Kluyveromyces lactis: one gene and its partners. The protein of the gene in region 7 purifies or fractionates together with the protein of the main gene of each other region. This does not show direct contact. Links are inferred from orthologs where the notes say so. Each region holds a gene or a part of one and is shown on either strand. Other genes may lie near its edges.

Region 1 (2,858 bases), on a different chromosome or scaffold from region 7:
TCATATGATGGTTAGTGAACCTGAAAGATGGGTCGAAGATTTTGCTAGGATCGGTTGCGATCAGTTCACATTCCATTACGAGGCTACAAAGGACCCGGTAGCGTTGGTTAAGCTAATTAAGAAGCATGGTATGAAGGCTGCCTGTTCTGTGAAGCCAGGTACCCCTGTGGATGTGTTGTACGAGTTGGCACCATCCCTGGATATGGCTCTTGTAATGACTGTCGAACCGGGTTTCGGTGGCCAAAAATTCATGGCCGATATGATGAGCAAAGTGAAGGACTTGAGAACTAGATTTCCTAATTTGAACATTCAAGTCGATGGTGGTCTTGGTAAACAGAATGTCGAACTTGCTGCCGAGGCAGGTGCCAATGTCATTGTTGCCGGTACCTCTGTGTTCCGCGCGCACGACCCAGCAGATGTCATTGGATTTATGAAAACCAAGGTCAATGATGCATTAGTGACCAAAGGTTTATACGAAAAGTAGTAAGTACCTAAGTACATATACGCACTCTTTTTTATGTCAGAATAATATTTAATGAACGATCCGTTTAAGATCTATCCTAGTATACAAAATGTTTATATAGACAATGCAAACCCCATTTAACGATTTTTAAGACTCTCTACAAGAAATACTGACCACCTAGAGTTGTACCAGAACCTGTCTGAAGGGATAAACCTTGAGATTGAATATCTTCCAACACCGTGGAAATAGCCTCTCTCATCTTTTCCAATTGTCCTTTCTTGGTTTCCTTCTCCTTCTTCACAACAGGCGCATCAATCTGCATACCACCGTTTTCCTCACTTTGAGATTGTAGATCAACTAATAGTTTTCTTTGTTCCACGTATTTCAAGTTACGTTCGATCTTCTTTGCTCTTTTCTTCGAAAGAGTCTTGGTCGTAAGAGCACCAGAGGTCGAATGCTCGCCTTTGTAAAGATCCAATGGTATACTCTTCAACTGACCAGATTTAGATGTTCCTGAAGATCTTGCTGGTGCCAATAAACCCTTCTTTTCCATAGCATCTCTCTTGGCAGCACGTTGATGAACCTTACGGTTCAAGTTAACCTTTTGCTTTGGCCTGTTAATGGAGTTCTTAGATGGCATCTCGAATTTTAGTACTGTGATTAACCGTTAACTTGTAGTTCCAGGAATACTAGCCAGTACTAAGAGTAACAAGTAACAAGATAGCTAGCACAGGTGAATAGTAACGGGGGATCAAGTACATGGTATGGAGATGCATTAACTTTTCAACAGATTCGCGATGAGATGAGATGAAAAATTTTAGAAAAGAAACGGCAGTACAAAATAGATACGGTATTAGTTAATGAAAAATGCTAAGATTTAAGCCAAGACATGCCGACATTGGTACTGGAGAGCACCATCTATGGAAGGGGTAAGAATAGGTGGTGATAAAGGCCACGGTGCTCATTACATTTCGGCTAACTGCTCACTTTATGTATACCAGCGTTATTTCATGGTAATGAAAGTGACATAGTTACCCGGATATTTAAATACGACCCACCCTTAGAATGGACCAATACATGAAAAAAACACACGGTAGTTGGAACCATGACAATAGAGAAAGGATAGAAACTATATACTTGTGTTCACAAGGATTAGGAGGCTAGTTTAAGTTCAACCGTTGGAGTTTTGTCTTGCCTTTCAGCGATAATTTTCTAGTTTGAATATATCGATTCTTGATTGAACAATTCGTATCAATATTCAAGTTTTATCGACAGTAAAGACTTAAAAAGAAAACACCAAATGACTAGTGATGCCGATGATGTGCTAGAGTTTTTAGACTCTTTACCAGCCAGTACTGCTAATAACACTAAGGGAAAGGGTAAGGTTAGTGGGAACGGCGGCCAGGATGAGGATATTATGGAATTCTTAGACGAATTGGAAAATAGTAACCTGGATATTAAGAAGAAACCGTCCAAAAAGGACAAGCCACAATCCTCTAAGAAGCAAGAGAAAGAGAAACCGGAGGAGAAGCCAGAATCGAACGAGAAACCTGTAGAAGAGACAGCCAGTAAAGAGAAACCGAGTGAACAGAAAGGAAAAGAAGAACATGTGGCAGAAGAAGGTGAAGAGGCAGTTCAGGACCCACTGGCGTCAATTTCCAATTGGTGGTCATCTAGCGGTTCTGCTACAGTATCCAGTTTCTGGAACAAGACCACAGAACAAGCCAATCAATTGAAAGAGAAGATAGCTACTCAAGAGGGCAACTTGAAAATAAACGACATAGGGGCCAGATTAACGGCATTGCAGGGGTCTCATGTCATTTCTGGGCTTACTTCACAATTGACTAAGATTGTCATTGGTGAAACGGATGAAGTGATCAGAATTCATTTGGTTCATGATTTACACAATTTGAACGAGGAAACGATTACGTATCAGGTGGAAGACCAATTCGAAAGATTACTATCGCAACAGGTGCAAGGTGGAATAAGAATATTTGCTGATGAATGGGATCACGGCAGGAAAGTGGATGATAACGTTAACTTGAACCTTTTCCAAGGTAAAGCCGTTGACGGTGAAAAATTATGCTTGGCCAACCTTGACAATGCAATCAAGACGTGGGAGACTGCTAAGAAACAATCGAGAAGAACCAGTAACCCAGTGAGTAAAGTAAGCGATCTTTTTGTCAGCATTCTGGCCTGCGAGGTTACTGGGAAAGACGGATCATCCGAAGCCGATTCTAACACTGTTTTGATCGACGCATCGAGACAAAACAACTTCCATTTCATTGTCATCTTGAAAGACATAAGTAATGATATCTTGCTAATAGTGAGATCCCAAGGTTACCCCTCCAAATGGGCCAAATGGTTACAATCCGATGCACTAAGCGATGAGGAA
Region 2 (4,856 bases), on a different chromosome or scaffold from region 7:
TATAATCCCCCTTAATAATTCCTCTGATGGTAGATTCAACAGTGTTAAAAATGCCATACAAAATCCTTCGTACAAAGATCGTCTTAGGCCATAAATATGTACAATGTCCGTGACATAAAGTAATGTTCTGGTCAATGTACGGATGCTGAAATGGGGTCTTTGATTGGAACCATCGACAATCTTATTAGCTTCTGCAAGCCTTTTTGCTTCTAAATAAAGTTCAGCGATGTCGTTACCAACCCATTCGTCGCTTACGCTATACTTTGAAATGTACTTGTCAATGATAGACAATAGATCAGAGATGTCACGGTCAGGAGAATGAACATAAACTTCGGTAAATCTTGATCGAATACCTGGTGGTAAATCTCTCTTACCGACATCTGTAGCAGGGTTCATACAAGCGAAAATTCTGAAATCTGGATGGGCTTTTATCGATTCTGCCTCACCTTTTTCAGATAGAAGTATACTTCTAGAGTCACTTTCTGAAAGCAAATCAGCTATGTTTTCAAGCGTGTCTGCCGAGGCCAAGTTGACTTCATCCAATAACAACCATTCTCCATTTCTGACAGCCTTCACCAAAGAACCTTCCACAAAATTAAACACAAACGAGTTTTCCAAAGTAGAGGATTGTAATTCAAATGATTCAACTGTTTGTCTGAATTCCTTCCATTTTTCCAATAAAGCTTGTTTACTCTCAGGGTCGAGTTTACGCTTTTTTTTCTTGTCAGCTTCCTCTTTCTCATTTGAGTCCTTTTTTAGAATGCTATCAGCCATTTTAATAGCTTCTTTCCAAAGTTTAGCGACGTTCTTCCATTGCCCCTTGGAGAAGCACTTATGGAGGAGTTTATAGAACTTCTCGTTCTTCTTCAAAGAGAATGTAGCAAGGAAAAGCCCCTCAAAATCTTCTAGAATTGGAATTGCGACAGTCCTACAATTCACAGGCTTGTAACCACCTAATAGATCACCGCTCTCAGTCTGCTGGGAAACGTTAATAACCGTCAAATTCTTATTCATTAGCTTTGCTAACTCTTGAACTACAGTAGTTTTACCAGTACCGGTCTCACCGACTAATAATGTTGGTTCACACATTTTGACGGCAACACCAATTTGTTCCATTAAACGAAGAGAATGATTGGTAAACGCAAACGATGTAGTGTTGGCACTTTTTTTATGAATAGTTGACTTGGGTCTTCTTAGGTGAGCTCTTCCAATTTTCACATCATCACCAGCTTTTTCGATTGCCGGTACATGCTTGTTCAAGAACAACGTGATTCTGGAAACTGAAACTTCAAGCTCTTCTCCAATTTTCTGTACTAAGGGCTGTACGGCTCCATATTCACTAATCGAACCAACAAAACAATCGACAGCTTCAGCAAAAATATCATCATAGATAGACGACTCGATAAGTTGATCCGGTTTAACAACTTGATTAGCTTCAAAAAGTTCGGTGATTCTCTGACTTAGTTTAACTAAATCTCGAACACTAATGATTCTTGGTTGAACACCTTTGTTCAATGAAACAAATTGTGGATTTCTGTAAATATCTTTCACAGATTTGTAGGTGCTGATAAGTTTCGGTATTAAGGCAGTTAACAAAGAAAACCTTTTTTGTAGAATAAGCTTCAAATCGTCTTCAGACGGCTCATCTACAAGGATTTTCTCCCATAATCTCATACCAATCAGGTCAGACTCATGCGTAATGCCACCATGGGAGGTGTGCTCGTCTAGTCTTATTGTTGCTAATAACTGGAAACCGTTGGCAGCTTTGATGACTTCACCTCTAGATGGAATGGATATTTCTCTTTTTTCAAGAAGGGTAAGAAGAACAGACAAGACTTCGGTTGGCGCTTTGTTGATATCCTCGATAAGTACCCATCGTCCCTCTTTAACTGCTGTTGTGAGAACACCGGATCTCCATTCAAAAGAACCGGGTTTTTCACCTGATGTATATGTACCCAAAAGTAGTTTAGCATCAGTTTGTTCACCTAAATGAATTTTGACAACAGAACTATCGCAGTTCATTTTTTTTGAAAGCTCATTGATCAAAAATGTTTTACCTGATCCAGCCTTACCCACAAGCATTACAGGCTTGTTGCGCTGAATACCTTCGGCCAATTTTTGTAAGGCCAACTTGGCACCATCCGTATATACTAGATCTGACTTTAGATGTTCTTCATTAGAAGGTGCTTCGGAGATTCTGGCAATAAATACACCACATACTTCAACAATCAACGACGAAAGTTCATTGATATCGATGTTGAACGATTTTCCAGTTGGTCTGAAGTTCTTTGGATAAGAAACAAGTTCATTGATTTCATTTGGTAGACTATGGTAATTTGAGAGCCTTTTAGCTTCAGTAAGTTCCAAAAATTGATAATCTACATCGGAAGCACCTTCAAATACACTTAAGATAGGTTCAGTTGACAGTTTAAGTTGATTTTGGACCACAAGTTCACAGGCGTGCTCTGCCATTTCAATAAGCATATTAAGAACTTTTAATGACAAAAATTTGATGATTGTAGATTGGTGTGCCAAAAGTGAATTAAGAGTTTGAGCATTGATATATCTCTCAAATCTGATCTTGTCATACTGAATCAATCGATAATAAGCCAAAAGGATCAACTCGATGTCCTTTGGATCATGAGCTTGGTAAGTTTGTAACAATGCGTTAAAGTAGTCACCATTTCTGAGCAAGAACACTTCGATCAATTGCGAAGCTTCCGGATATAAACTTGCAATTCTGCCCAATGCGTGTAATACCGTGACAAACTTCTTGGAGTCGTGTTGCAAAATCCATCTAGAGCAACAGTCCAAGAATATATTCTTGTAAATGTATAAATGAGGAATCGTTAAATCTTCTTTTAACGAGGAAAATGCTAAATTCGACAAGTTCTCATCGGTTGAAAGCTTGGCATCAAATCTATAATAGTCAGACAAGTGCTGCTGAGTAAAAGCCTTCTGGTATATAGTGAAGTTTTCCTCGGCCGCAGTAACATCTAAATAAATTAATGCAGAGGACATGGCTATAGTAATTCAATCCTTCGCCCCTCTTATAAGCAATTCTTCTTTCTTTCCTAGTCAATAAACAGAGGCAGAATAGAAAATATCCGTTTCGATGTTTTGATACTCTGTGAAAGAAGTGATATGCCTTACTTTGCTAAGTCTATAGCGGATCTGCAGTTAAATGTATCCTACACTCAATTTGGCAGTTTGTTTAAAGTCATCTCATCTCATCTCATCTCATCGCTTTTGTTTAAAAAATTCTCAGAGCACAGAAAAACACCAAAAAGAAATAAATATTTCAGTGAAAGAAAGATATACCTGCAATCCATCTCATCGGCAAAAGAAAAATGGATGGGTAAGAGAAAAGAATGCTTTGAGAGAGCCATTAACAGCAAGCCTAAAGTTTACAATCCATCTGAACTCCATTGTCTTCCGATACATTCCTCTGTATGCAATAATTATGGTCGGTAATCCAGTTTTACGTCCGGTTGACATGAAAATGCAACCTGCTCCGTATCAAGACAGAGTTAGAGTTGTCCAAAAGATATACACACAGTTAAAGAGGTTTCAATCGAGCAGCCCTCACATTATAAAGGCATCGACTATTTGGGAACATGAGGTTGCTAAAATAGCAAAAACAAGACAAAGTTACGCGTTCAATGCTTCCATTCTATTACGAGATATTGTTAAATATAAGGGTAATCTTGATAAAACTGGCAAACCTAAGAATAATAGTTCGTCATTAATACAAAGGTCCCACGTATTGCAAAAACTACGATCTTTGCTACTCGACGAGGAAACACTCAGTAGGAACGGATTTTTTGTCAAGATGTATGACACTGATCCGATCAATGAATCAGAATCAGATTATGTGGAATGCTATAGATGTGAAACTAAATTTGATGTGACAAAAATTATGGAACCGACAGTATGTCGGTACCACCTTCAAAGGAAAGTATATAACAGAGAAACTAAAAAAAGAGAATTTCCTTGTTGTGGAGCTTCCCTTGAATCATATTCAGACATATCTGCAGGGTGTATGAAAGCGAAAAATCACGTTTACAAATGGGAGAATTTCACAAAACTGTCGAGTGTGGTCCCTTTTAAATCTCTCGTTGATATCAAAGGCGAAGAGAACGTTTTGGCATTAGACTGTGAGATGGCTTTCACATCGAAAGGGTATGAAATGATTAGAATTACAATAGTTGACTTCTGGTCCTCAGAAGTAGTGTATGACAAGGTAATAAAGCCACTGGGCGAAATTATAGATTTAAATTCTAAATTTAGTGGGATTCATCATATAGATGATACTGCACCTACAATTCATGAAGCAGAAAAATGTTACATCTGTCCTAGCATGATCAATCAAAATAGCATACTTATAGGACATGGTTTGGATAACGATTTACGAGTAATGCGCATAGTACATGACAAAGTAATAGACACTGCCGTTTTGTATCCAGCAGGTAAGTATAAATCCTCTTTGAAGAACTTGTCTTTTGAAATCTTAAGTCGTAGAATTCAAGGAGGAGAACATGACAGTTCAGAAGATGCTATTGCGGCAATGGATGTCATTAAAAAAAAATTGAGTATCCCCTTGGATAAGAAGTCATGGTAATCTATCTTCTAGTCTAGCCATTCTTTGCTCTAGTTCTTCTATTCGAGCGATTAACGCCTCGTTTAATTTCCTCATTTCGTTTAGTTCAATAGATATAATCCGATCTTCAGGTAGCTTGAACATCACTGATTTGGACCTCGTCCGTCTTTCATTTTTTTCTACTCTGGACCCTTTCATGGCGTTAGGTGTGTCAGTTTTCCTTTTCCTCTTAGCGGTGTCGGTTTCCGTTTCTTCT
Region 3 (3,238 bases), on a different chromosome or scaffold from region 7:
CTTCCCATATGCGGCAAACTTTTCTCTTCTATTTGATGGTGTAGTCTTGGTGGAAATTCCTAACTCGTTCAAATATTCACGGTTTTCTTCGGGGGTAGCCTCTGGAGGTGGCTTGATCTTGAAGAACTTCTTAATACCCATGGTTTCACTACGGTAACAGCAACCTTTTAACCTTATTTGATCGATGTTCCCCTTTTACCTTGTCTTTACCTATCTAAAAATTGATGTTAAAGGAACTACAACTTTTCGATTCTTTTGTTTCATTTAAATTTAAAGGTTTCTTTTGGGTCCAGTAGTACTTAGTGAACCACGATGCACAAAATACAAAAGAAAGAAGGAAATAAACAGTATGGGGTTGATGCAAATGCCAAAGAGCAATCAAAATAAAAATTGTACTATACAGATCCAGAGATATACACCAATATTACATTAAAAAATGGGGCGATAATGGGGGCCAAAACGATATAAATGACAGAAGAGAGCGATTGTATCAATTCCTTTTATGAGTAAGTTTCGATCAAAGTATCACGCAAGTTACCAGAGATAGCTTCTGGTTGAGCGTCTTGTAGACGGAAGATAGATTCGATCACACTTAATTCTGGAGCGGTGGTATCTAGACCAGTAACTGCCAAATAGTCGTTCACGACCATACCAGCACCGACGACTTGCGAACCACGGTTCACAGTACCAGCAACTAGTGGGACTTGCAACAAAGAGGAAAGTTCTTCTTGGTCTTGTACTGTAGTCTGAGGATGCACTAGACCACCTTGGTTAGACAACGCACAATATGAACCAACAAGAACGTTACCCGAAATTGTTTGACGGAAAACTTCAACACCTAAGACATCGGCAATCAACTCCTCAGTTTCTCTGTCGATGTCTGGATGAACCAAAGCAACATAATCATTACAACAGATAACATTACCTAACGCAGATAATCTCTCCTCAACTCTTTGAACCTTCACAGCATCTGGCAAACAGTTTCTCAAATGTTGTAATTCTTGGTCGGTAGTTTGAGTTGGAACCAATAACCCTCTACGGTTACCAGCAGTCATACGACCAACAATCCTCGTACCTGCAATAGTGGTATGAGCAATAGGAATAGCATCTCCTAATTCGGCTTCAAACGCAGAATAAAAGTTCTCCGAACCACCAAGTGCCACCAAACAGTACGAGTTAGTTAGCTTCGAAAACACACCAATTTCGTTAGAATTCTCAAATTGTGTCCTAGTCGCCATAATTTCAGTTGATTTATCTGCAGTGGTATACTGGCGTAACAAGCAGAACTAGTGTTTATAAGTCAGAAGAACTGTACTAATTCAAGCCGAATCAACCATCCGCAAGATGAGATGAGATGAGCTTAGAAATTATCCAGTGAAATCTTTAAAATTTTCCATATTGCAGTGTTTTAAAGAAACGAAACACAAATTAGGTTACCCGGAGAAGAACACACATACAGTACTATATGGGTATCTCGTACCCTTATAGATGTATAAATTTGATCAGTGAGAGTTATCCAACAACCGTTCGAAGCTTAGACGAGAAATAGCTCTCCATTTCACATTCTTTCTTCTGATCACCAGACGATTCAACGCAGGGTATACCGTACACCTGAGCGTGTTTTATTTGTTACCCGCACTTGCGTCGAATATCTTCACTAAGTCGTCAATTTCCGACATTTAAACAGCTTCAAGCTGAAAAAGCGACACATTCACAACAAATATATTGACACAAAAGCATGTTGCATGTATCTAACCTGCAGTAAGTTACATTTACGAAAACATTTTAAAGCTGTTCGATCAGTGGCAAGCAATTCATAAGAATCAAGTTTCACTGAATCATTTTTCTCTTTCCAAGATGACTGATTGTAATAGTACAACGGAGCGCAGTTTGACGTCTGGATTGGAAGCAATGTCATTGAAGGCAATATCCCCATCGAAGTTGAATAGAAGGCATAAAGTCTCGAGCAAACCTGATAAATTGAATGAAAATGTCTGTTTGGATCGCAGAGCAGAAGTTTTGGTTAATACGGAAAATGAAATGCCAACAGAAATTGTCAGTAAGATAAAGAACGAAAACTTCCATTTGCAATTGGAATTGGAACAGAAGAACCATGAGATTTCCAAATTAAAGTCAATGCTCTTACCTAAACTGACACCACCTGCAATTGATCTAAGATTAACGACAAGTTTAAAAGACCCTTTGTACTACCATCCGGAAAGCAACAAAATTCCCGGTATGTCTGGGGCTACAGTGACAAATTCAGATTACGTGTCCCATTTCTCATCATCATCATACGATGGGAATAGAAATGACGTTAGAGAGACCTCAACCGTTGCTAGTACTACAATATCAAGAAAGGAAAAAAACCATATGTTGTTCACTAGGAATATTTTACCCTTTATTCGGGATTCCATCAACATGTATAAAAACTCCCATGTTTTAAATGAAGAAGTGGTCCCGATAGAAAAAGAGCTCGATAAGTTTTATGATAACTCCTTGAAGAAGGACGAAAAATGTGAAGTATTTTCTAATGTACTCTTAGGGTTACTCAGGGTACAGAGATTAAATATAGCGGCGTTGAACAGAGAATTAGAGTTGAAAACAGTGGAGAGAAAAATGGATTACTTGGCAACATTGTTTTTGGATCCACAAGAGTATGAAATACCACGTCATAGCTCCATGAAACGAATCAGAGATCAGATGTTGGATGTGATTATTTCTCTATATGGAGAATTACCAAATCCTAACCAAAGGGCAGCAAGAGAAATGAAATATCAGCAGCCACAACAGGTTCCTTTGAAGATAAAATCAGATTCAAAACTGAACCGACAGTCTCATAATCCTGAAATACTACCTATTGGTTATTCAAACTCATCTTCAAAACCAGCAAGGTCGGCAAAGAAACGCATGAGAAATATCAAATTGACACCATTCAAGACAGCTTCACAGGAAGACATGGATGCCGATGATGATCTGGACGTAGACCTCTCAGATCCCTTACAACTACTTTTGGCTGAACGTATAACTGGAACTGATTTGGAAAACACAACGTCACTGACTAATTCGTTGTGACGCTAGCTTTTCCGCTATAATAAGCAACATCAATACCCTTATACAAAACAACTCATCTAGTTCCAAACCTTTATTATATAAATCTCTAAAAATCCTAAGCCTGGGATGTTAACCCGTATCATTAAAATACTGTATAAACTTATCTCTTAGTCGCATCATCTGT
Region 4 (4,358 bases), on a different chromosome or scaffold from region 7:
CTGACACCGGGAATTTTTCTTCGAAAATCATACGAACACTTTTCAGACGGAAAGCACCTTTTACAATTGACATATACAAAGAGCATATATCGTTTTGTAGAGTTTTATTGGAGCTTTTATGTCACCCGTACTTTCAAGTGCTAAAATCTCATGGCTTATATGTTACTGAGAGTCAATTTTTTGTGAAAGAGGCCTACCTAGATGTGTGTTGTGAAGCCGTCCTTTTTTTTCTTGCCCTGTACTAAGGGCACATAGGAGAGAGAAAAAAAAAACTGTCGCCTGATAAACCGATAGAGAAATAATAGAGGCAATCAAATATAACTCAAGCAAAATGATGTTGGTCGACGGTTAAATATTCCAGGTATACTGAGATTGTTTTGGTGAAATATTTATGTCAGTGTTTCCTTTTTTTCTATTTTATTTAGATCCTACAATTTTCATCCTTTTTATTCTTCAAGATTAGTCAATAACTTTCAAAGATAAAATTGTTACTGAGGTCAGAGGGATGTTGGTTATTTGGTCAAGGAAAAGCAAATCAAAGGTATAACTCTTATAATTTTACAGAGTACGTAACTATTTTACAAATAAAGGAGTAATAATTAAATTTAACCCACCCAATGCAGACAAATAAATGAAAGTAGTGACTAATATATATAGTTCAATAGAGATAGAAAAGAAATTGGCAACACGATAATATATGTTCGAAATCACCAGTGATGGAAAGGAAGGAAGAACAGACAGTTTAACGGAAATCAGTCTTACCAACACCACGCTTACCTGAGAACAAATGTTTTGGTAGAGAGGCAGTAGCATGTCTGTCAGATTCACCGGCTCTGGCCATTCTGTTTCTTTCTCTTCTTTCTAATTTGGCCATTCTTTCAGCCTTCGATCTCATTGAACCATCAGCAACACCGTCTGTCAATCTATCTGTCTGTCTTAGCTTACCAGCTGGAGCAGAATCTTCTTGATCACCGTATACCACGTCAGCACCAGTTTGCTCATATCTGTTCTTTTCAGCAGCGACTCTTTGCTTATCTTGCAAAGCAGTCATATCGTGACCTAAAGAAGACATGTGCTTCTCCATGTCACCATATGTCTTTGCCAATTTAGAACGAGGCATGGTACCACGGTTCTTCAATGCCTTTCTGTTTCTTGAAGCATTGATCATCTTCTTTTGTCTATCTCTAATCCATTCTGCCTTTTCTCTGATCTCAGAGATTTCGTCAGCATCAAATCCTTCGTAAGTTTCTTCTTCGTCGGATTCATAGAAGCCTTCAGATTCTAATCTTTCTTCTTCTTCCTCTAAAGCTTGTAATTTGATTGCGATTTCTGGATCCAAGAAGTCATAAACGTTCTTACCATCTAAGATTTCTGGCATGACATCGTTCTTCCATTCATCGTCTTCCAATAGATACTTGTCCTTCAAATTAACGTTGTATACACCGGCCCCACCGTTTTCGATTTCAATTTCTTTAGCCAATTTTCTTCTGTTTGGATCTTCTGGATCATATTTCTTCATCTTAGCGATGGCTTCTGGAATATATGGAGTTCTGTCAATACCATCATCACGCTTTTGAGGTTGAGCGACGTGGATCTTGTTTAAGACGTTAGTGATTCTAGCTTGAGATTTTAGCTTGTTTTCAATTCTGGAAGCCAACAACTTTTCACAAGCCTTGTTTCTAACAGCCATAACGTTATCTTCTTCATGACAAGAAGTGGTCATGATTTCAACACCTGGAACTTCCAAAACAGTATCCAAAAGTTTCTTACGTTCTTCGTCTAAATCTTCAGGTTTAATGATATCAGTCTTGTTAATGACGACCATGACGGATTTATTGGCAAACAATGGTTTGATCGAATGGAATAATTTGACTTGAGCTTCAATAGAGAAACCACACTGTTCTGATAGATCCATGAAGTACATAACAGTAGAACGCAAATGAGCAATAGCATAAATGGATTGCATTTCGACGTTGTTCATTTCATCCGTAGGTCTATCCAAGATACCTGGAGTATCAATCGCTTGGAATCTCAAGTATTTATAATCAAAATGACCCACATATAGCGACTTGGTGGTGAAAGCATAAGGTTGCACTTCGACATCAGCCTTAGTGATACATCTCAAGAAAGAGGATTTACCCACATTTGGATAACCGCAAATCAACAAAGTTCTGGTGTTTGGGTCGATGGATGGCATTCTACCCAAATGTTGTCTAACTTGTTCCAAATACACTAAAGGATCCTTCAACTTCTTCACAATGGTAGCCATTCTACCAAGAGCGGCTCTCTTCAATTGTTTACATTGGAAAAGAGATTGACCGAATTTTAACAATCTTGTGTAATCTCTTTCAACTTGTTCGACCAATGTCTTAGCACGACTCACAGCAGCCAAAGAAACTTTGAAATGATTCTTTTCATACAAAGTATCCATCAAATCCCTATGGAAAGGATGCACGTCGTTAATATTAGGGAAACCTTTCAAAATATCATCAAATTTTTCCACGAACCCTTCACCGGTGAACTTCACCTTTCTCATGTAAAACGCTCTGATACGAGTGATATTGAAACCTGGTCTAATAACAGTAGGTGTCTTTCTTTGAGTTCTGTTCAACACAATGTCCAACAAGTCATTGGCAGGAGCCACGGTCGGAATATCTTTCCAGGATAATTGCATTGTTGCTTAATTGATTTGACGTAAACTTTGGGATACACGCACACACGGGGACAACAAAAAACAATTAAACTAGCAATAATGCAGTTAAGCTATGCTTAGTTGTTTGAACAAACTTCCAATCTATTCAAACTACCTGTCAAACGGATGTCACACTGATAATCAAGCTCTGTCTATCACTTCGAATGCACAATGAGATGAGATGAGATGAGATGAGCTTGCCGTTTGGAAAATTTTCCCACTACTGCAAACCTTTGAAAAGAAAAAAAAAATTGTGCTTTCAGGATTTCTTTTTCGTATGGATCTCAGAATTGACCGTTAAAGGCATACACATTGGTTATGTCACGTGACTAAAGCACTTTCTTTTGAGACTGTCGGGGTAACAATATATTTTACTGTTAAAATGTATGTGAACATTTTATTTACGGTTTACGTTTCAACTTTCAATATATACAGAAATATCAATGAGATTTTGATCTGAAAGAATACAGCTTGAGTCCAATCTCTAGATTCATTATAACTTTCTAATCACTACCTGATAATTGCCTAATTTCCGGTAGAATTGCCTTATCCGCCTTTTTTTTTTGAATTTTTCTCTTCAAATATAGATTTGTTTCGTTACTATGTCGGAACCAAGCCCACAATCTACGATAGCCATTGCCAATCTACTCAGGACTCATAGCGACTTGAAGCAAAGACAAGGATTGTTCCAATCGCGTTTAGTTGACTTCTTCCGTTATAAAAGATTTGTTAGAGCTTTGAAAAGTGATAAATATAAGGCAAAGTCCAAAAAACAACCCGAATTGTACCCCGCTGTGACAAGCGATGAAGATGCTCGTAACATTTTTGTTTCCTTAATCAAGGCCCAATTTGTCGTACCAGCGGTTAAATTACATTCTGCAGAATGTAAAGAACATGGTCTAAAGCCAAACAAATCATATCCAAACTTATTATTATCGAATAAAGCGACTCTACAACCAGATGAATATTACGTCTGGTCTTATAATCCAAAATCAATTTATGATTACTTGACTGTGATCGGTATCATAGTCGGTGTGCTAGCATTCGTGTGTTACCCATTATGGCCTCCATATATGAAACGTGGTACTTACTACTTATCCATTGCAGCATTGGCACTTATCGGTGTATTCTTTGGTATTGCAATTGTGAGATTGATAGTTTACTTGTTGTCATTAGCTGCAGTTAGCGAGAAGGGTGGGTTCTGGCTCTTCCCAAACTTGTTCGAAGATTGCGGTGTTATAGAAAGTTTCAAACCGCTATATGGATTTGGTGAAAAGGAATGCTATAGCTTCCTGAAGAAAGAAAAGAGAAAGCATAGATCAGTTGCAAAGAAGCAAAAATAACTTCAATGTAACGGACTTCCATCCCAGACTGTACATTAGCAATTTAACTATCACAGAAGGTGTATGTTCATTCTTTCGGTGAGAATCACATACTAATATCACATATAAACATACAAACATATATAAATATAGATATATGTACTCATACTAATATCAGTAGTGACATCTTTGGTTTCTGACACTAGAAATCACCTTCTTTTAAAGTTTTATTTTGCATGAATTGATTTAAGGTCAAGTAAGAAAATGAAAAACGCAGCAACAGTAATGAAAACAGTAATGAAAGCAGAAGTTGCAAACAGTTAGAAAAATAATGCCAACAGGAT
Region 5 (4,367 bases), on a different chromosome or scaffold from region 7:
AATGTATCTACCGATGGTAAGTATAACATAAGGCTGAACTTGGTTAACTATTGCTAAATCTTATTGATATACAAATTCATACGACTCTCATAATATTTCAGAGGAAACTACTGAACCAATTAAATGGGTAATATTTCCGCCCACCTACTATCAAACTACAAACTGTAGGAATTCAGTTGTTGTTAGCGAAAAGGGCGTTAAATGGGAGTATCCCAGCTCTGGGCATCTTGAGCTTACTTCTACATGCGTGGAATAAGTCTGCGCCATGATAACCACAACGCGAACCATAATTGAACATGCCGAAATGTGTTTAAGAGCCCTTGTTTGCTGAGCTAGGAACCAAAAAGATAACCACAAATGACAAGAATACTTATCAACTGGACCATGTACTGAGGTCAAGTATAAAGTAAACCAACTTTAACCAAGTTTTGTATCCTTTTCTTTTGGTTCATCAAATTTTTCAGTAAACACCGGGTAATGCAGTGACAAGTTGCATGCTAACCATAGGTCTTATAACCGGAAGCAGGGCAGCTAAGGAAGATATAAAGGATATGCAGTTACATTTCCATAATGAATGGGGATAATAGACTGTGCAAACAGTGGATTTATATATATATAAGAGTTTAGGATGAATTTAGATAGTACTTACATTAATCGGAAAACATGGAAGCCTTTTTCTTACTCTTCTTGTTCTTCTTGTTATGCTTCTTACCATTTTCGTTGGCGACGGTTTGCTTATGGAAAGGGTTCGTAAGTCTGCCTTGAACACCGTTCAAATGGAAGAAATTTTTGTCAAGTTCATCAGCTACGTTGTACAAGGCTGCTTGTTTACCACCATGGTTGACAGATTTAGCTTGTACTTTATCACCATCACCACCAATATGAGCAGAGAACGTTAATCGACTTAAATCGCGAGCAAGATCCAAATCTTGTATACCTTTGTGTTTGGCAGCTTCTGCAAGTTGCTCTTGTCTGTTGATAGGTAATTTACTGAACGTGTATAAATCTTTGTTGAATTCCTTACATTCTTCTCTGGTATATGGCGTATCATCGTCCATGTGAGGCGGTGGATTAATGTACAGGAGTTTACCGTTCACATAATCTTTGAGAATGTAACGAGAGGCACGAGATTCATCTGCGGCACCAAAACCTTGTGTCATATAACCACGAGCTCTGGCATAAGCAACGAGTAATTCTTGTGCAGTTGGTACTTCACCATTCCCACCCTCTTCTACGGATTTGGTCTGAATATGGATACCGTAAATGGCTTCCAAAAAGTATTTAGGGACCCTTTCTGCCACTAATGTCGATGGCCCAATATAGTCACGTAACTGATCGATCGGTAGAACACCGTTACACACCAATTCACCTTTATTGTATGCAAAATTAGGGAAAACTAGACCTGGACAGTCGCATAACGTTACCTTATCAGATAACTTGATAGTTTGGAAATGTTTGGTCTTACCAGGGGTAGAAGAGACAGAAACTTTCTTGGCACCCACCAAGGCATTTATAGTGGAAGACTTACCAACGTTTGGATAACCCACTAGACCTATTTGTATGATTGGCTCTTGACCGGGCAATGGAGGAAGTAGCGGATCGTTTGGCGCTTTATCTAAGAACAATTCTTCAAGTTGATCGATCTTCAGTATGTTAATTTTATCCAGAATTTCTTTGTTCACTTCTTCCCCATCAAGTTCTTCAATTTCTTCCTCTGTAGCCAGTATTTCCTCATCGTCCTCTTCTTCAACGTATTCATCCCCTAGTTCCTCTTGTCTCTCTAATATTTCATTAGCCTTGGCAGCAGAAAAGAATGTAAAAGAGATGCCCCTCGAGAGAAGGTACTTGGCCCAAATAATACGTTGCTTTCTTGTTAATAAATCCGCTTTGTTGATCAAAAGTAAATTCTGTTTCCTGTCATCCACTTCTTTCACATATTTCTCTAAATCTGTGGATCTGAATAATAATGGATCTCTGGCATCCACGATTTGGACTACTAGATCACATCGCTCAACAACTCTCCACAACTGCCTCCAAACTTCAATGTTTCTCTCGAATGGAGTCAATAACAAATCCTCGTTGTCTTCTTGCAAATAGGCTAATTTACGTCTCCATTCCAAGAATGCTTCCTTTTCTAACCTTTCTAATTCAAATCTGGTCATAGATTCATTCCACTTAGGCCTTCTTGGGACAATCAACTCTCTAGCATGTAATCTCTGCTTCTCGTTGATCTTACTTTTCTGCTCATTGGTCAAACTAAATCCCTGGGATGTGGCTGCATCGGCACCGTTATCCATTCTGATGATCTTGACATTAGAATGTCTGTCCGCTGTGAAATCCTTGTCTGCTAACTCAGCAGTACTCAAAAATTCATCTAATGCAGATTCCTGAGTAACAGATCTCAATTTTACCCAATTAGCTTCGTGCTTATCGGTAGTGAAACGTTCTTCACCATCTGGCAAATACTGCACTTCATTTTCCTTACGTCTTGCAGTTTGAATTGCCTTACCTAACCCAATAGTGTTTTTATTCTTCCTTTGAATAGGCTTTGGACCCTTTGGAGGTTTCCACTTCTTTGTTGTTTCCTTTGGTGGCATGCTGCTAGTCCGTGTTGCTTGTAGACCTGCCGTTAACTGCTAAGATTGTTGTGCTGATGCTTTGCTTATGATGAGATGAGCTGGTTAACATATTAAAATTTTCCGCTAGTACGTAAAGTGTAAAAAAGAAATTGTGTGGTAAACCTGAACTAGAACAGATGGATGGCTCAACAATCTTTACAAAAGCACCCGCATGATGAGGATGCAGAGTACGACTCCAACATAGGTATTGCATACCACCTTAGAGGAGCGACAAAATTAGAAGTCAAGAGTTTCTGCAGAATGGAAGAAACTGCAGCTGATAAAAGGGTTACCACGCGTCTTCCTCCATGTTGCTTGTGTATTTTAAGAGAGAAATTTATCATTGTGGGTACCTATCTCTTGCATAAGGACTCAGGCAATCGAACTGGCTCTATTGAGGTTTATGATAAAGAATTGAACCTTCTTTCTAGCATAAAAACCTATGGGGCAATTTTAGATTTGAAGCTCAATCCATTCGATGATACTTTACTCGCAACAGCTCATTCAACCGGTAATATGATTCTGTGGACGATATCTGTCGACGATGATAATTCATCAATTGATATCAAACTATTGAACAACCTTCAAGTATTTGATCCCACATGTCTAATAACGTCTCTCCAGTTTTCTCCATTGCTGGATAATCTCGTACTTTTAACCACTACTAATGGGGATTTTGCTACTGTTGATATCATACATGGTGAAATATGCTTTATAGAGGAGGTGGAGCCATCGTATTTCGACTCCTCAACAATAAATTATATTGAGGTGCCAAATGCAGACATCAAAGTTATAAATGTTCAGAATGACCATGAACAAATCTTTCATTTCAAACATTCTTTGGAGTGCTGGACCGGCGAGTTCGGCTGTTTGGCTCCTTTGAAAGATGTTGTATTCACTGGTGGTGACGACTCTGCAATTGCAGCTCATGATTTGAATTCAGGCAAAAAGATCTGGTCCAATTCAAAAATTCATCAAGCTGGTGTTACGGCAATTAAGGCTGCTAGGGAGACATTTAGAGGCAACAAGCCAACAAGTTTAATCACAGGCTCTTATGATGACCATATACGATCCTTTGATCTAAGAATGCTCTCAGAAACCACAATATATCCAGGGACAGACGTCCCTGTGGTTAATAAATGGGAAGACAATTTACAGGGTGGTGTTTGGAGATTCTCGGAGGCCCCAACGAATGACGGACTGTCAAATAACAGACTTATGGTTTGTTGCATGTATAATGGTGCGAAGGTTGTCAACGTCCAAAACGATCATTTCGTGACCGAGCAGTTTATAAAAGAAGGGCATGAATCAATGTGTTACGGTGGTGATTGGAGTAAAGAAACAGTTGCAACTTGTTCTTTTTATGACAAGTCCCTACAACTTTGGAAAAGTCCAAATTAATACACATATAGTTTTAAAAGGAACGAAAAAAGCAGACGGAATTGAGACATAATTGATGTGTTCTCACTTCGCTGTTTCGATGAGCTTCAGTATGTATTCTTTTTTAAATATAGGACCATTTGTTTCATCTTATTAACGCACGTGACTTCAAGTATCTTCATCCTGCAACACCAAAACACGAAAGTTTTGGAAAAACTGGGTAAGTAATCCTTTGATCTAAAATTTAATTACTTCAGTTAATATAAAGAAAAAGACTTCAAAGATTGGTATTTTGATGAAGTAGTAGGAGCTTCATAATTTCTGATATCTGAAGCAGCAAATTTGTTTCACTGGTTCTCACGTCATTAA
Region 6 (4,255 bases), on a different chromosome or scaffold from region 7:
GCAAACCCTCTATCATTCTTTTCTCTTAGAATGTTCTTGATGATGGTAAACGTCTTCCCGATTTCCTTCTTCCGCACGTTAGTCAAGGATAAGATTTCCTTGAAAGATCTCCCGACCTCTGCTCTCCGACATCCGACAAGAATAACTGAAGCCATGATACTTTCCTGTGATTTCCCCTTCAAGACTCTCTCTTCGAAGCATAATTTATAAGCTTCTTTAGCACAATCTTTAACAATCTTGGGCAGTTCTGCAGCATCACACATCATAGTAATCTTCGCATATGCAGCTTGCAACTCGTTATCCTTCTTGTCAACGATAGATTTCGACTGAGCCCTATTCAAATCCCTAGTAACTCTAGCATCACTTCCCTGGGCCTGCCCGATACGTGTGGTTAAATGGTTTCCATCCAACAAAGGATTTGAAGCTTCACCAACACGACTTGGATCGTCTCCATTCTGATCGTCATTGCTAAAAGTACGCCATTCTGACCTGGTATCCACAATTCTATCCGATAAGACTAACCCACATAATGCACAGACGATATCACCTTCACTAAACCGTTCCACAACTTTCGGAGGATAAACTTTACATTCGGGACACGATATAACAATGTTCAAATTTGGCCCCCTCCTTCTAGATGAGACAGCTACATTTGCTGAAGCTGCTGCTGGCAATGACATAGTTTCTCTTTTCTCTTGCCTCGGTATATGACTCAGAACAGCCTAAAAAAATAGCTGGAAACTGAACGGTAAGAAGTCGAATGATGAGCCGCTAAGATAACTAAACTTAGGCGCTGCTTTTGTTATAAAAGAACAGAAGAAATACCGATTAACCAACTAGTAGACGGACAAGACTGTGTAAGTTGCAACTGGATAGCTCCTTATCATTTTAGTTTCTCAATTTCTAAGCAAAAATGCTGGAAACTCGACGGAAATATATATCACGTGATAAACGCCACAGAAACAACCGTGGCATGTCTCTTGTTTACGGTTGATGAAAATTTTCACGAGATCCGGGTAACAAGTAATAACTTCGCAGTTATTACTACACTGACTGGAAGTAGAGAGGATGAGAGATGTGGTAAAACAAGTTCCACCCTCGCAACTTCGTATCGTATATCACGTTATATCAGTTCTTATTACTGAGATGATTTTTGTTCCCTGCTAGTGTCAAAAAAAACTGCGCAACGGCTACTGGGCTGCCTTTATATGTACTGACAGTTTCACTGCCCTTGACGGTATTACTGTATATATAATGTTAAATATCTGCCTGGAAGTGCTCATAGATATACCAAATACGTCCCAAATATTATTGACACAAATTATGGCTTGCGAGTAGCATAAGATTGCCTCGTAATTGACGAGTATCCACTGTGTTTCCACTGTCGTCCGCCAGCAAAAAGAAATTCTTTTCTACTTTGAAATTTTTCAGCTCTTCGAAATATGTTAAAACCTGCGATGAGATGAGATGAGATGAGATGAGACTTGATATTTACAGAACACCTGTTCAAGTAGATGTTTCAGTACTGTTTTCCGTGATAAGTTCACCGGAACAGCTAAGATATCTATAATCCAGTGCAGTAAATATACCTTTTTCCATTAATCAAAAGAGATGGTGAGAGTAAGAAAGAGAACTTCCAAGAGAACTTCCACTCGTATGAAGGAGGGTATCAAGAAGAAGGCTGCTGCTCAACATAGGAAAGAGCGGAAACTTGCTAAGAAGGATGTGACATGGAAATCCAATAAGAGTAAGGATCCAGGTATTCCGGCCAATTTCCCGTACAAGAACAGGATCATCGAAGAGATTGAAGCGAAGAGAAGAACTGATTTGGAGGAGAAAGAACGTAGAAAGCAGGAAAGGTTAGAGGCTAAGAGAAGAACTCGTGAACTAGGTGAAGATGTTGGTGATGACGATGAATCTATGGATGAAGATGAAAACGACGGCAACAATGGTCTTTCTGCTTTGTTAGAATCCGCTCAGCAAGCTGCAAAGGAGTACAATGGGGAAGGTATCGATGATACAATGAATGGAGAGCAAGAGGATTTAGAGGTTGCTGAATACGACGTAGACTTTTACGCTGACGCAGATGATGATGATTCTGAATTAGAAAAGTCTAGAAAGGCTTACGATAAGATATTCAAGACTGTGGTGGATGCGTCCGATGTTATCCTTTACGTGCTAGATGCAAGAGATCCAGAAGGAACTAGATCGAGAAGAGTGGAACAGGCCGTGCTTCAATCCCAGGGTAAGAGACTAATTTTGATCTTGAACAAGATCGATTTAGTGCCACCATACGTGTTGCAACAATGGTTAACCTTTTTGAAATCCTCGTTCCCTACTATTCCATTGAGAGCTGCTCCTGGTGCCACTAACTCCACATCTTTCAACAGGACTTTGACTCAGGCTACAACTGCTTCAAGCTTGTTAGAAGCTTTGAAGACTTACTCCAATAATTCAAACTTGAAGAGATCCATCGTTGTTGGTGTCATCGGTTATCCAAACGTCGGTAAGTCGTCTGTCATTAACGCATTGACCTCTCGCCGTGGTGGTTCTTCTAAAGCATGTCCAGTGGGTAACCAAGCTGGTGTCACTACATCTATGAGAGAAGTCAAGGTAGATAACAAGCTAAAGATCTTGGATTCTCCAGGTATTTGTTTCCCAAGTGAAAATAAAAAGATGAGTAGAGTGGAACAAGAAGCAGAGTTGGCCTTGTTGAACGCTCTACCTCCAAAATTCATCATAGATCCTTACCCAGCTGTGCTCAAATTAGTGAAGAGACTTTCTAAATCTGAAGAAATGACTGAAAGTTTCAAGAAGTTGTACGAATTACCACCTATCCCAGCTGCCGATGCAGACTCTTTCACCAAACAATTCTTGATCCATATCGCCCGTAAGAGAGGTAGATTAGGTAAGGGCGGTGTTCCAAACTTGGCCAGCGCTGGTATATCCGTTCTTAACGATTGGAGAGATGGTAAGATCCTAGGATGGGTTCTACCCAATGCTTCTAAGGAATCTGCTGCAGAACATGCTGCTACATCTGGTGAAGCTAACCAACCAACTCTAGGTACTGGTGCTGTCGCAGCACCAGCTAAGGTGGAACAAACGACCATTGTTCAAGAATGGTCCAAGGAATTCGATTTGGATGGTCTTTTCGCGTCATTGGATAACGCCATTGAAGCTGAACAAGACAACTTAGGTAATTGAGAACACAGAAAACGAATTATTCTGCATCTCTATGAAATACGATCAAGGATCCTATTGCTTATTTTATTTCGCATCGTTAAAGCTATAGATTTAAAAGCTTATGTATTAGGATGTGAATTTGAACACCCGTTTCAGTCCACGCACCTAATAGACAATACACATTTGTACACTACTACATATAAATGATTTAATATCTTCTTCGGCAAGACGTTTTTGTCATCTCTTTTCTTTAGGTAACAAACCTTTAAATAATACTTTAAATGCCTACTAAAATCAAAATGTTTAAAAGAGTGAAGAAGAGAAATAATCCGTGAGTCTACCATACGAACTCCAGGCTACACTATGTGTACAGCGTGACTAAATCTAGGGCCAAATATGCAGATCAATGTCAATGATAGATTGAATATAGGAGGTGAGTTTTGCACAGTACGATACATCGGATCATTGCCAGAATGGCCTAATATCGTTGCATATGGTTTAGAGTGGGACAACAAGCAAAGAGGTAAACATGATGGAACGTTAAACGGAGTACGATACTTCAGAACATCCGATGGACAGAGCAGTGGCTCATTTGTGAAGGAGACTAAACTAGATACATCTCGGCAAGAGAGAACATCGTTTGAAGGTGCATTATTGATGAAATACGGTGATACTTCATCAATCGATATTACCTACAAATTTGGGTCGAAAGAGACTGAGTCATATGGATTTGAGCATTTGAATGAAATGAACTCTGATTTTGACAAGTTGGAAAGTATCACGCTATCAGAAAACAACATTTTCCGAGCTTTCAAGACAACCTGTTCGAGCATTCCGTTTAATAGTGCTCATTCTTCTCTGCGATACCTTGATTTATCCTTCAATCTGTTTTCTGACATAAATGAGGTGTACCGCATACTGCGACTATTTCCATCTGTCGAGACTGTTATATTGAGTGGGAACTGTTTCACGAAGTTAGAAGCGGATTCCAGTGAACAGTTTGAATTTTCCAATGTCAAAGAACTATCAATGGCATGTTGTAAGCTCCGAAATGGAGATATAGAGACAATAA
Region 7 (4,780 bases):
TGCGCCTCATTCTAGGGCGGATGGACGAAATTTCATCGAAATCAGGCTGAAAGCCTGATTTCTTACTACTGTACCCCATACAAATAGAAACTTAACAAGTAAAAGACAAGAGGCTATCAATGGTAGATTAAAATAAACACAGGAATACATAGGTGCGACCGTTTCAATAGTTCGTCTTAACTGCGTTTGCGATTACTTCACTGACGACTCATCATTCAATTGTGAGTTAAAGTCGGCTCTTGTTGTACTGTATAGGTTTTATTGTAAAGACATCACCCCAGGTGAATGCTGCTGCACTACATTGAATAATACTGAGACGAGCTAGTCTAGGCAGTAGTAAATCGTTCCCTCGAGAGTAACGCGTTGGAACATATGCCTTCCCGGCCCCATTTAGTGCGGGCCAGCATCACGGGCCACAGCCCGTGATGCGAAGAAGGCTTAATGCCGACGCATGAATATAGCTGATAGTGTCGAGATTTCCATTCAAGCTGAAGTTCCTCAAACATCCTGTAGTGGTCTCTTTTTCTTTTCGAGTTTTTTTTTTCCCTGTTAGATCATGTCCTTCTCGGTCCAAAACCGTTGGCACACCGTTAAGCCGTGTTAATAGTCCTTTTTGACCTGGGATATGAGCAGCAGACAAGTGGTCTCGGATGGTGATATCACATTGGCTGAAAGGACAACTTCAAAACTGGGCTAAATGGAGAAAATGAGTTGGTCACGTGACACTGACGTGTCTTTTTTTTCTATCTTTTATATGCTGTGTCTACAAGTGCCTATAATTAATATAACTACTTTTGCCATGCCATCTAGTTTAATTACCTTTCTTCTTTTGCTTCGTGATATGAGCACGCAAGACCTTTTGTTTGTCACGAAGCGACATTTTTTGCTTACCCTTCACAGATCTCTTATGGATCATCATCACAAAGTTCTTCTTTCTAGATTTCTCTTTATTTGTAGTTGATCTCATTGAACTGTCACGCTTACCACGCTTACTTCCGTATTTTTCACGGTCTTCACGACCTTCCATAATAGATGCCATTCTTTCCTCTTTGTTCTGTTTCTTGTGCTTGGCTGGACCCATAAGCTTGTAATGCTCAATAGTTTCTTCGTTGTTGATCCCCATAAGTTTAGTAACACCCTTTTCAGTACGTAGTTCTTGAAGTTTAGCGAAATCGGCTGGTGTTAAGATACGACTGGATGCTAATTCACGGAAAGCTTCTTCTGGGTCAGCGGATTCACTTTCTTCCTTCTGCTCTTCTCCCACCTTTGGTTCTTCTTCATCACCGGATAATTCTAAATCACTATCTTCACCAGCTTCCGGTTCGACTTCATCGTGGGAACGTTTCTTACCCTTATGACCTGTTTTGTTCTTGCTTTCCTCATCGTCAGAGTCCATGTCAACTTCGTACTCTTTATCGCTTTCTATCGTCACCCACTCACCTTCTACATCCGAAGCATCTGATAATTCATCCCGGTTGTTCAAATCCCATGCAGCCTCATCATCATCATCCTCCTCGTTTCCGTTCTCACGCTTCCACTTCGCTAGTAACTCAATACCATCTATACCTTGTACATTAGTAGTCTCGACACCAAACTTGACACGTTTGGATTCCCTGCCATTGCGTTTGTCGTCCTGTAGTCCCATAGAAGCGGTCTTACCACGATCTTTCTTCTTTAACATCTCCGGAGCAACTTCTCTGTATAATGCAATCAAACCCTTAGCAGCAATGGCGACACTCTTGGCCTTGGAGCCCTTATATTCGGTTAAATCTTGTAGTAAAGTCTCATCGATAGCTAATGGGGCACGAGTCAAGATTTCTCTGACTGTATTCAAACCCACAGTGGCAACCTCATTTGAAACACCGTCGCTAACAAACTCGTTGGCTATCTTCCTCACCATCACTTCAATGGTCTCTGGAGGAACAAGATCATGACAGGATTGGGCTGCAGCAGATAGAATCTTGGTAACGTCCCTTTGCTTTGGCGTCAGGTATTTTAAGAAGTATGAATATAGTCCAAGAACCATTAACTTGTGTGTACCTGTTAAACGGGATAATAATTGCATGATGGCAGTCTTTTGTTCGAAATCAAATTTGTTCGAATTCTTACCACTTAGATGTCTTTCAAACAATTTCTCGGCAAACCCTTGTGGATCACGTAATAGATGGATGGCACTGAAATTTAAGAAATTATTCTGTTGAACACCTTTAGCAGATTTCTTCTTTACGACCTTAAGTGCTTGCTCTAGCTTCTTACCTCTTTTACTAGATTTCTTGTTGATCTGGAGCTTGTGCTTCAAAGCGGTAGTATCGATTTCATCCTCATCGTCGTTTTCTTCAAACGCTTCTTCACGCTCTTTATCAGCATCCAAAAAGAACAAGACACCACTGTATGCAATTTTAACATCGTTATGTAGTGCAGCATGGGTCATAATTTCAACCGATCTTGAATCGTCCCAGATACCTCTTCTCCATAACTCTCTTGTCAATTTCGATGCCCATATACCTTGAGAATCTGGCTGTTCCAACAAATTGAAACACAACGCATGGGTAGATTTGTTTAATTTTTGGTTCTTACCACTGGTGTTACAAGATTTCATCAACTGTACTAGAGTGTTGTAGATTAAAGTTCTTAGCTCTTTGGCGTGAGAATTCTGGACCATCGAATTACTAGGGGAAGAGTATGCAATAAGCAATGGGAACATAGTTTGAATCAAAGTCTCAGGGCTGATAACGTTCTTATTTCTCAACATAGTTAGACTGGTGATAATCTTTTCTTTCACGTCAAACGGAAGCGATTTGTGGTGATCTAATACTAACTGTTTCAATTCGTTTGGGAAGTTTGCCGTTTCACGAGGATAACAGGAACAAACTTGAGATACAAATCCAATTGCTCCCATAAACTCAGCCATTGCACTTTCATCAGTGCTCTCGTTGTTGACCGAATTTAACATGAAAATGTCTCTTAATGATTGGTAGTGAGCATATTGCTGTAGAAACTCTTCACGATAGGATTCAGGATCACGCTTAACAAGGTTCTGCAAGAGAATAATGTTTGTCGGTAGAATAGCAGCACGAGATCTCCTAACCATATTTGTTTCTTATTTGATTATGTGATTCCTTTTCACTGTTCGGAAATACTTAGTTGATTTGCACAAGTTCGAATAGTGTTAGGCAACTTTAGTTGTCTCGGAGTGATATACTTTGTTCATACATAGGTTCTATCTCATCGCATCTCATCTCAAAATTTTCTTCCTTCTAAAAAATTTCTTTTCACTCACGGTACGGAAAGAAGAAACCAGAGGCAAAAAGTGGGTTTAAGGCTCTTTAATATCTGAATAGGCAAAATGGTATACTGATGGTAGCTTATTATTGTGTTCCATAAATGAATAATAGTCCACACCAAACGAATATTTGTTTGCAATGTTTATAAATTATGTACGCCGTTTAAATATAGTTCCAAAAATATAATCGAAATGAAATTGATACACCAATTTAGTGTAAAATATTAAAATAAAAAAGAGCAAAAACAGACATCTGTATCAAGTAACGATATGTAAATAGCAGTTGGTATTCATATAATTTTCTTGAGTTTGATCTGATGGATATCGTACAAGAGAAGAGAAACAGTGACGACGTAGAAACTATTTTTGTCCAAAGAGACCGTTAATAGCATCGTAATTGATCTTCTTTGAGAAAGTCGTCTTTTGTAATAGATTCTTGACACCTCCAGCTGCGACAACATCTACAGCATCAGCGTCATCCACGGAAACATCAAGCGGTAGTCCGTCGACTTGAACTTTGACGATGCTTGCACTGGATTGGTTTCTATTAGTACGTTTGCTGCGTTTTTTTCGTAGCGAAGTATTCCCACTGGCCAAATCTGCTTCCTGTTTGAGTCTTTTTGATTCTTGTTCAATCAAGTAATCACCGTTGATATCAATCCAAATACGTTCTTTCAATTTGGAAGCTTCTTCATCTAACAAGTGAGAATCCAATTCTGCATCATCAACATCATCCAAATTTTCAGGATGATCGCTGACTTTTGAAAGCAGAGAAGCTGTGGTGGGTAATAAATGTAAATTTCTTGGTCTATATGGATCCTTTTCAAGACTATATCCATCAATTTCATCCAGGGAACGTTTCTTGTCTTTCTCAGTTTTGTGTAAGTCTTCTCCATCGATTCCATGCGTAGCTTTTATACGACTGAATTCAGCTTTTCTGCGTTCAGAAAGCTTCTTCAAATAATAAAGGACTTCTTTAGACGATAGTTCCTGCGCTCCGAGCACTTGAGTCAAAATTGGATTTCTTGACACGGCTTCCTCGCTTGTCTCCAACATCTCTTTAGTATCCAAAGAATCTTTTATTTTCTTTTCCTTTAGTCTGTTCTTATCGAAACTAGGAGGTTTCGATTCGGCACTTCTCTCACCCTCATTTACCTCAGTTTCATCATCACGGAACTCTTTCACGGAGAGCTTAGCTGATGTTGTATTCTTAAACTCATTCAATCTTTGCTGAAGCGTTTCCTCTGCAACATGAGATATTGCCACGATTTCAGAATGCGTTCTTCTCAAATTGTTCATTCTACAGGCAAGTAAGAGACATGCACCTGCGATACCAGCTGGTCTTCTCCCTTCATACATCCAATCTCTGGACATAGTTTGTGCCAGTTTCACAGCGTCCCTTATCACTTTAATCTTTTTATCACCAAGCTCCAATTTCTCCGCGAAATGTTGAATGAACAAAGATGGGTCAGCTAGAGGTAACTTAACTATTTGTAA

The links.
Region 1: the proteins of SDA1 (region 7) and ALB1 purify together in Saccharomyces cerevisiae (affinity purification with mass spectrometry; 4 studies listed by BioGRID, with this or other methods). This does not show direct contact. The link is inferred for Kluyveromyces lactis from reciprocal best matches to the Saccharomyces cerevisiae genes SDA1 and ALB1.
Region 2: the proteins of SDA1 (region 7) and REA1 purify together in Saccharomyces cerevisiae (affinity purification with mass spectrometry; 4 studies listed by BioGRID, with this or other methods). This does not show direct contact. The link is inferred for Kluyveromyces lactis from reciprocal best matches to the Saccharomyces cerevisiae genes SDA1 and REA1.
Region 3: the proteins of SDA1 (region 7) and TIF6 purify together in Saccharomyces cerevisiae (affinity purification with mass spectrometry; 3 studies listed by BioGRID). This does not show direct contact. The link is inferred for Kluyveromyces lactis from reciprocal best matches to the Saccharomyces cerevisiae genes SDA1 and TIF6.
Region 4: the proteins of SDA1 (region 7) and NOG1 purify together in Saccharomyces cerevisiae (affinity purification with mass spectrometry; 6 studies listed by BioGRID, with this or other methods). This does not show direct contact. The link is inferred for Kluyveromyces lactis from reciprocal best matches to the Saccharomyces cerevisiae genes SDA1 and NOG1.
Region 5: the proteins of SDA1 (region 7) and LSG1 purify together in Saccharomyces cerevisiae (affinity purification with mass spectrometry, with the first as the bait; 3 studies listed by BioGRID). This does not show direct contact. The link is inferred for Kluyveromyces lactis from reciprocal best matches to the Saccharomyces cerevisiae genes SDA1 and LSG1.
Region 6: the proteins of SDA1 (region 7) and NUG1 purify together in Saccharomyces cerevisiae (affinity purification with mass spectrometry; 9 studies listed by BioGRID, with this or other methods). This does not show direct contact. The link is inferred for Kluyveromyces lactis from reciprocal best matches to the Saccharomyces cerevisiae genes SDA1 and NUG1.

What each region holds. Positions count from the first base shown.
Region 1 is NC_006041.1:1,345,310-1,348,167, forward strand, and holds ALB1 (Alb1p), read right to left. Parts: upstream 1,104-2,858; coding exon 621-1,103; downstream 1-620. Other genes in the region: ribulose-phosphate 3-epimerase RPE1, read left to right, coding at 1-484; DUF5427 domain-containing protein MTC1, read left to right, coding at 1,764-2,858. UniProt on the Saccharomyces cerevisiae protein: With ARX1, involved in proper assembly of pre-ribosomal particles during the biogenesis of the 60S ribosomal subunit. Accompanies the pre-60S particles to the cytoplasm.
Region 2 is NC_006042.1:1,851,409-1,856,264, forward strand, and holds the start of REA1 (AAA family ATPase midasin), read right to left. Parts: upstream 3,022-4,856; coding exon 1-3,021. Other genes in the region: REX3 (RNA exonuclease), read left to right, coding at 3,185-4,621; FIN1 (Fin1p), read right to left, coding at 4,613-4,856. UniProt on the Saccharomyces cerevisiae protein: Nuclear chaperone required for maturation and nuclear export of pre-60S ribosome subunits.
Region 3 is NC_006040.1:175,407-178,644, forward strand, and holds TIF6 (translation initiation factor 6), read right to left. Parts: upstream 1,239-3,238; coding exon 501-1,238; downstream 1-500. Other genes in the region: SEC9 (Sec9p), read right to left, coding at 1-141; KLLA0_D02068g (uncharacterized protein), read left to right, coding at 1,858-3,075. UniProt on the Saccharomyces cerevisiae protein: Binds to the 60S ribosomal subunit and prevents its association with the 40S ribosomal subunit to form the 80S initiation complex in the cytoplasm. Is also involved in ribosome biogenesis.
Region 4 is NC_006041.1:2,150,017-2,154,374, forward strand, and holds NOG1 (putative GTPase NOG1), read right to left. Parts: upstream 2,675-4,358; coding exon 743-2,674; downstream 1-742. Other genes in the region: Sec63 complex subunit SEC62, read left to right, coding at 3,295-4,035. UniProt on the Saccharomyces cerevisiae protein: Involved in the biogenesis of the 60S ribosomal subunit.
Region 5 is NC_006042.1:641,281-645,647, forward strand, and holds LSG1 (ribosome biogenesis GTPase LSG1), read right to left. Parts: upstream 2,598-4,367; coding exon 651-2,597; downstream 1-650. Other genes in the region: RRT2 (diphthamide synthase), read left to right, coding at 2,760-4,019. UniProt on the Saccharomyces cerevisiae protein: GTPase required for the nuclear export of the 60S ribosomal subunit. Acts by mediating the release of NMD3 from the 60S ribosomal subunit after export into the cytoplasm.
Region 6 is NC_006040.1:1,173,026-1,177,280, reverse strand, and holds NUG1 (RNA-binding GTPase NUG1), read left to right. Parts: upstream 1-1,611; coding exon 1,612-3,204; downstream 3,205-4,255. Other genes in the region: SUA7 (transcription factor TFIIB), read right to left, coding at 1-680; PAC2 (Pac2p), read left to right, coding at 3,580-4,255. UniProt on the Saccharomyces cerevisiae protein: GTPase required for 60S ribosomal subunit export to the cytoplasm.
Region 7 is NC_006037.1:498,408-503,187, reverse strand, and holds SDA1 (Sda1p), read right to left. Parts: upstream 3,092-4,780; coding exon 812-3,091; downstream 1-811. Other genes in the region: transcription factor TFIIIB subunit BRF1, read right to left, coding at 3,644-4,780.